2 linked regions of the Macaca mulatta genome follow. The protein of the gene in region 1 binds, or shares a complex with, the protein of each later gene. Links are inferred from orthologs where the notes say so. Each region holds a gene or a part of one and is shown on either strand. Other genes may lie near its edges.

Evidence for each region. The genes of interacting proteins can lie anywhere in the genome.
Region 2: the proteins of NCAPD3 (region 1) and NCAPG2 are in contact, whole or in part, in a cryo-EM structure (PDB 9F5W), measured with the Homo sapiens proteins. The link is inferred for Macaca mulatta from reciprocal best matches to the Homo sapiens genes NCAPD3 and NCAPG2. Residues at the interface, in NP_056076.1 of Homo sapiens: Glu1213, Lys1216, Ile1217, Pro1218, Leu1220, Gln1247, Ser1250, Glu1251, Tyr1254, Lys1258; in NP_001268861.1 of Homo sapiens: Phe291, Lys332, Pro333, Ile334, Trp336, Lys340, Ala341, Arg342, Arg347.

Annotation. Positions count from the first base shown.
Region 1 is NC_133419.1:134,390,239-134,394,324, forward strand, and holds part of NCAPD3 (condensin-2 complex subunit D3), read right to left. Parts: intron 2,915-4,086; coding exon 2,732-2,914; intron 1,327-2,731; coding exon 1,160-1,326; intron 908-1,159; coding exon 768-907; intron 1-767.
Region 2 is NC_133408.1:198,087,226-198,091,017, forward strand, and holds part of NCAPG2 (condensin-2 complex subunit G2), read right to left. Parts: intron 1,886-3,792; coding exon 1,815-1,885; intron 844-1,814; coding exon 690-843; intron 576-689; coding exon 402-575; intron 1-401. UniProt on the Homo sapiens protein: Regulatory subunit of the condensin-2 complex, a complex which establishes mitotic chromosome architecture and is involved in physical rigidity of the chromatid axis.

The DNA.
Region 1 (4,086 bases):
AAATACCCCCAAACAACAATGAAATCAAAACCACCAAATGAGAAAACATACCTGCAAGACATCAAGTTAAAACTGCTAGTATTTAAAATTTTCTTATAAAGAGGCAATTCAGGAAGAAATACAAATAAATGATAAACATGAGAAAAAATGTCCATTCTCATTAGGATTCAAAAAAATAAAAGAGTCTAACTTGGCATGAGTGAGAGAGGACAGTTTGACACTATCCAACGTTTTAAAATATCCGTGGCCTTTGACCGCTGGGAATTAATCCCAAGGATTACATACATACAAGGCTATATGTACAAGGATGTTCACTGTGCCAGTATTTACATGAAAAAATTGAAAATCAACATTTCAAAGAACAGGATAGTAATAAATAAGTTATTTCCACAGACACAATGCTGTAAAGCCACTGGAAGCAAAGGTTTGAAAGAAAAGTTCATGGAAGCTACATCTGACTTAAGTATGCAGGGAAACAGATCATAAAACAACGCACACACAGATCACAATTCCAGAAACAAAACACGTGTGTAAGAGGAACAGAATGGCTGGAGGAAGGAATGCCTCACTGCTATGGGTAAGTTTCATCTTTCACTCTATTTTCCAAATCTCCTAGAATAAATATGCATTGTTTTATTACCCATGATCCTAAAAGCCCAATTAATGTTACTTGTTTTAAAGATAAGAAAACGAACCGTTTTGAAAGGAATGAGAAGTAGTCATGTTCTGTGTCTTGATCTGTAAATGCTCTACTATGTCTGGCTTACCCTGATTGCACGTTTTCTCTGGGCTTCCAGAATTTAAAGTGAAAGGCAGCACTCCTAAGCTCCGACTCCGATGCCTGCTCTTTGACTCCACAGCTTTCTTGACAGAATTCAGGATTGCAATGGTGCTCAGGGACATGGGTCTGTGGAGAACAGCCACGCGCTGACTTTCTCACTGCAGAGGTGACAGTGCTGCACCCCGTCCCCACGTGCCTCCTCTCTGGCGCATCCCTCACCCACACTCACTCAAACCTCCCAGGGCAGAGTGCGGAGGGGGTGGCAGGCCAGACAATGACAGTGCCTGTCCTGCCCATGCTTGGTGGGAGGGGTGGGGACGCCTCTGAGAACATCGCCCCAGAGAACCAGCCCTGATGTGGCCTCCAGGGGCTCTTTACCTGGCTTTGGGCAGCAGCCTCTGCAACGGCCCAGTTTCAGGTGCAGGAGATGCCACCGGTACGTGGCCAGCACTTGCCCTGTGTGTGCAGGGCTGGCTCACGGCAGGTGACAGGGCGGGGTTTTCTTGGCCAGCAGGAACTGGCGCTGTTTCTAAACATGGAGCAACCTGGCGGAGAAGATAAAGAGTATGAACCTTCTAATACTTTTTAAGTTTTTAAAAATTGATATATGATAGTTGTACATGTTTTAGGGGGTCCATGTGCGATTTTGATACATGTGTACAATGTAATGATCAAATCAGGGTAATTGGGATCTCTATCACCTCAAACATGAGTATCTTTTCTTTGTGTTGGGAACATTCCAATTCTTCTATCTACTTTGAAATATACAGTAAATTGTTAAACTATAATATCTCCACTGTACTGAATACTAGAATTTATTTCTTCTATCTAACTGTATTTTGGTACCCATTAACCAACTTCTCTTCATCCCCCTTCTCCCACCCCTTCCCAGCCTCTGGTAACCACCAAAAATCCACTCTCTTAACTCCCAGAGATCCACTTTTTTGGTTCACATATATGAATGAGAACATACAATCTTTGTTTTTCTGTGTTTGGCTTATTTCACTTAATATAATGTCTTCTACAATCATCCATGTTGCAGCAGATGACAAGATCTCACTTTTTATAGATGAAAAGTACTCCATTTTATATATGCACCCCATCTTCTTTATCCATTCATCCACTGATGGACATTTAGGTTGTTTCCAAATTTTGCTATTTTGAACAGTGCTGCAATCAACATGGGAGTGCAGGTATGTCTTCGACATCCTCATTTCCTTTCTTTTGACTATACAGTCGGCAGCGAGGCTGCTGGCTCATATGGTAGCTCTACTTTTAGTTTTTTAGGAACCTCTATACTGTTCTCCATAGTGGCTGTTCTATTTTCCATCCCTACCAACAGTGTACAAGCCATTCCCTTTCTCCATTTTAACACTTTTATTGGAATACAATCTTCACATACTATAAGCAAGTCCATAAGCAATGTACTTTGAAGCCTTATCAACGCTGGGTAAGTTGAATTTCCTTTTCAGAAACAGAATACTGTGAGAAAGCTGCCACTTGTAGATGCTGTGGCATGACATAAGAGAAAAAGGAGTACGCTACTTTGTGCTCATTGGTCTTTCCTACAAGAGATCTGCCTGCATTCCTCAGGACAGTGAGCAGCAGCTCTCCCTAGAAATGGCCATGGGCCAGTCTGCTCTCAAGAGGGCGTGCTGGGGGAAGATGCGAACACACTGACACACCCTGGCAGACCTAGGATCTATAGTCACCAGCCTCTGCTGCTGCCAGCTCACTTCCTGCACCACATCCTCGTGGAAGGGAGGTCTGGAGCACAGTAAATCCATCACAGACAGAAAGGCACAAGGGAGCAGCCAACAAGCAGCACTCTCGAGGCCTTTGGGCTGACTAACCTCTGATGACGGAGATTTTGAGAGGTGCTAGACAACAGACTGGTAGCAGACAGCAGACTGGACTGCCTGGTCACAGCACAGTGGGCCCCACACCTACCTGTGCCACAGGTGCCACCTCGGCACCTCCAGCCGTCCCAGTCACATCTGCATGCTTTGCTAGCTCTTGCTCCTGAGCCAGCTGTTCCTGGTACTTCTTCATGTCATACTCAAGCTCTGATGCCAGCTGTTTGTCAACTGCAAAGAAGTCCTTGACCTCATCTCGGTAATCCTGCATCACCTCCTAAAACAGACCCAGGAGCATCCTTTAATGTTTTCTTGAATAAAAAAGTAAGCCCTAAACCCCCATGACACACCTTTGCCTATGTTACAAACCTGCACATCCTGCACCTGTACCCCTGAATGTAAAATAAAAGTTAAAAAATAAAAAAGCCCCCAACATGACTTGATAAATAATAATAGGAACAATAAGACTGACATTACTGAAAGCAGACATTTCCATTCCAGTGACTAACAGTACAGTGGTACATTTGGAGCAAACACCACTGGCCACACGAGCAGGTAAATGTGTGAGTAACTAACAGCTCACTTTCTCAGGAAGCATCCTGGCCATCTGGCAGTTAATGGGCGATCTCTCCCAGGTTCCCAGTGGGAGAAAGACATGCTCAGACACAGCCTCTGGAGCAAGTCCCAGGATGCCACGGATCTCAAAGCTGCTCCTCTGTCTACATTAGCCTCCCCACTGGCTCTCAGGGGATTACAACTAAGGTTCAAATCCCATCTTTGTGTCTTCTGAAGATTTTACAGAAAACCTTTTCTCATACCTAGGGAAGAACATTCTTAGGTCTTAAAGAGGGCTGCCAGGAGCAAGACCACTTTGCTAAGAGAAAGAACCATTCCACCTAACAGGAACAGGGAGAAAAAGACACTGCAGTTCCAACTAGGAGGGAAGTCTCAACAAAGAGAAGGGATCCATGCACTCTTCCAGCTGCCACTAGGAGTGGGTTCTACAGGCCAATGAAGAGACTCCCTGAAGCTGCTGACAACAAGCAGCGTGTGGCCATCCTCTGGGTGTGAGCTCACAAGCAGGAGGAAGACTTATTTTTCTTAAGTGCTTAAGTAGTCTATGTAGGATCTAAGTTGTTTTTTTTTTTTTTTTTTTTTTTTTTTTCCTTTCTAGGGTCTAAAGCAGGGCAATAAATACAAGAATACTTGGAAGTTTTTATTTTTATCATACAATGAGACTATCTTTCCTACCTTAGCTTCCTAGTATAAAAAACTATTTGAAAATGTATATTCAGTGTAACTTTTATTGAGGCCTCTAGTGGAAAAAAAATTGTAGCATTTTTTACAGAGATATAACTGCTGAATTAAATAAAAACTACGTCGCATTTATTTCTTAGTAAAAGATTTTGCCAGAAACATCTGAGGCCCCACTTAGGTCTGCCCTGCAAG
Region 2 (3,792 bases), on another chromosome or scaffold:
ACAGCTGGGAACATGATGGGTTCCCAAAAAATGTTCTCCAAACATTCCCAGAAAAAACTGCCAAGGACTGCAGGGACTGAGTGTCCACATGAAAGGGTGTGTGACGTATCTCCAGCAGAGGGTGTGTTCTGAGAAACTCGGGCCATCCTCCTGAGTCCTAGCACCCTAGCAGGTGCAACAGAAATGCAAGATTTCTGAACACATGTCAACTGGGACTTGACTCCCAACCTTGCCCCGGCCAGGTTCCATGCCTTGTACCAACTGAATGAGGTGACATGATCACTCTCAATTCTGTTGCAGCCAGAACACTTGTATAGCACTGGAAATATGAAACCTTCACATCTTGATTTGCCACCACCACTATCATACAAGACCACTCAACTCTCAGGGCACAGAGTTACCTTTGATGTTTCAAGGGCTTTCAAAAGATGATTAAGTTTCTTTCGAGGAGCAGAGAGCAAGCACTCGCGATTCTTTGGATGAGTCAGCAGATACTCAATGTAGACCAAAGCCAATTCAGGTTTGACTGGGCGTGTGTCGTGGATCTGCACCCTACGTTTAGAAGCTGTGTTGCTCTGAAAGAAGAGAGACACTGATAATGAAAACACATGTCCCTAGAAAAGCATATCATTTCTAATACACAGTTATCCTCACTCACCTAATTTTAAAGAAGCATGATGTTAACCTACCTTGGCCTGGGCATGCTCTGTGGGCAGCCAGTTGTCCACAAGCTCCAGAATGTGCCCCACTTGCCCCCAGGAGCAGAGGCAATCCAACAAAGTGCAGTAGCTCTTGTCCACAGCGCCCTCCTCCTGGCTTCTTAGCGTGGAAATCACACCACAGCTGACAAGGTCAGATGGAAAATCAGGTTGAGTATTTCAACAGAAACTCCCCCACTTTGTCAAAAGGTGAGGAAAACCAAGAAGCTAAAATCTGACGGTGCATAAGCCCTTGTTATTATATTAGCACTTTCATGCTCTCCAAGGCGGGAATAAATACAGTTTCCCACAGTTGCTACACAGCTGCATCCCACCACAAGACCTGAGATCAGCTCTGGACGCTGAAGGAGCAGGGCACAGCAGCTACACAAAGCCCTCATCCTTCTGTTTCTGTGCCATCTGTCACGTTCTAGAGCAAGAGTTTCTACTCTTGAAGAATAATTTTTGTTTAGCATCAAAATACTCCTTTTTCTTCCATAAATATGAATAAACATAATTTTTACTGAGATAATCACCAACATTGTAGAGCTCTAATAAATTATGTGAGACACAAATGCAAGCCACAAATGTAATTAAAAATGTTCTACTACCCACATTTTAAAACACAAAGAAAAACAGGTGAAACTAATTTCAATAACATAATCTTATGTAATCCAATCTATCCAAAATCATTTTAACATGTAATCAATATTTCACACTCTTCTTTTTGCACCAAGGCTGACTCCATGTGTATTTTGTACTCACAGCATATCTCAGCTCAGATGGCCAAAGCTCAGGTGCTCAGGGTCACATGTGACCAACGGTGGCCTTGTGCTCCAGAACCTCCCACACCAGGTGCTAAGAATAACCCCAGACTTAAGGTGGAGTAACAGTTTCAGTTCCATATGTAGTCTCTGCTTTCATCAGTACCAACTTAGGGCCACTGAAAATCACATCCTGATATTTTCCCTACCACAGGGAGAGGGAAGGGCAGAAGGAAGAAGCCACAATGAGCTGAAAGCTAAATGTTTTGGTCTGCTGACATGAAGTAGTAACTCAGCACAACAATGGATAGGATTGCCACTTCACTACCGCACGGAAGAACAGAGCAAATACCTGAACGGAGGGACAGCAGAGGCCGGCATAAAGGACATTAGCATGAATAAAGGGATCTTGCAGCGATCATCCTAAGAGCAAAAGGAGAAAAACAAACCAAAGCACATGTGAACACTATAAATTCTGAAAGTGTCTCTACGTAAACTCTAATAACTTACTATCAAAGCTGGTCAAGAAGAACCATGGTAGTTCTTTCCATGTTCAAAGGGAAAACTTAAACCAGCCTCATGTTTGAGGGGCACAGAAAATTACTTGATAAGTGTTACAAAAGTTTTATATAACATTTTACTACTTTGCAAATATTTATTAAGCACTTGCTATGTACCCAGTGCCAATCTAGACCCTGGGAATATGCCAGTAAGCAGGATAAACAAAATCATATGCTGTCACGAATTGAATCTACTTTAAAAAACAACACTGATGAAACAAAAAAAAAAAAAAAATTAACTCTATGCACTTGGTATCCTGAACATAAATCTCAAGAGAAGGAAACTATTCAGAGAAAATGTTATAAAACAAAATCAGAATATCTTGAGGAAGACAGTATAGTTCAGTGGAAAATGCAGCAGGGCGTGGTTGCTCATGCCTGTAATCCCAACCCTTTGGGAGGCTGAGGTGGGAGGACTGTGTGAGGCCAAGTTACAGGCTACAGCAAGCATTCACTCCAGCCTGGGCAACAGGGCAAGATTACATCTATTTAAAAAAAAAAAAAAAAAAATGTCCAGACACAGTCGCTCACCCTGTAATCCCAGCACTTTGGGAGGCTGAGGCGGCTGGATCACCGGAGGTTAGGAGTTCGAGACCAGCCTGGCTAACACGGTGAAACCCCGTCTCTACTGAAAATTCAAAATTAGCTGGGCATGGTGGCAGGCGCCTGTAATCCCAGCTACTCGGAAGGCTGGGGTAGGAGAATAGCCTGAACCCACGAGGCAGAGGTTGCAGTGAGCCAAGATTGCGCCACTGCACTCCAGCCTGGGCAACAAGAGTAAGACTCCATCTCAAAAAAAAAAAAAAAAAAAAAAAAAAAGGAAGCTTTAAGGCTACTGAGCCAAATCCAGACCCAATCAGATTCTGTAGCCCAACAGCCGACATAGCACAGAGGAGAGGAGTTAAGCTCTCAGAGTCAGTTTCTTCCTCTGCAAAACGAACACAGGACTGTTGGAAGAATCAAAGTGAACTACACCACACAGAACCACAGTATAATACTTAGAGTGTCCTCAGCGCTTAGTAAACTGCAGCTATATTATTATTACTGAAACAATAAGTAAAAGGGGGTCCATCTACCCTTCATCAAGAACACTCAATAAGAGATACTCTTGGCTGGGAGAATGAGGACATAGTGAATCCTAAAAAATAATAATAATTTTCCTGAAAATATATATGAAACAGAAACAGACCAAAATCAAAATTTGATTAGTAATTAATCTGCATTCACAGTGACCCCATCCTTACCCCCAACTAACAATAAGGGAGGAAAATATCTCGTTAATGTTACAAGTATACTGATAATGATGGCCAATTCTATCTGTGTGGCTCACCCATCATCTCTTTACTTAGAGAAGGAAGCAATTTTCCCTAGTGGTGGAGAGACCTCCTATAGACATACTAAGAATTAACTGAATCCCAAGACCCTCTAAGGGTTTCCAATACCCCAAGGCCACAACTGCCCTGTCCGCCAACCCACCTGGTATCCTATATGGGCTTCTGTTCATATTCTGAAATAATGCTGGCTTCTCAGCCCCAGGTCATTATTTCAGCTTTCTTTCTTTCTTTTTTTTTTCCTTTTTTTTTTTAAGAGGCAGGGTCTCACTCTGTTGCCAGAGCTGGAGTGAGTGCAGTAGTATGATCATGGTTCACCGTAGTCTCAAATTCTGGGCTCAAGCAATCCTGCCTCAGCCTCCTGCATAGCTGGGACCAAAAGGCGCAGGTCATCAGGCCCAACTAATTTTTAAATTTTTGTAGAGATGAGGTCTCACTA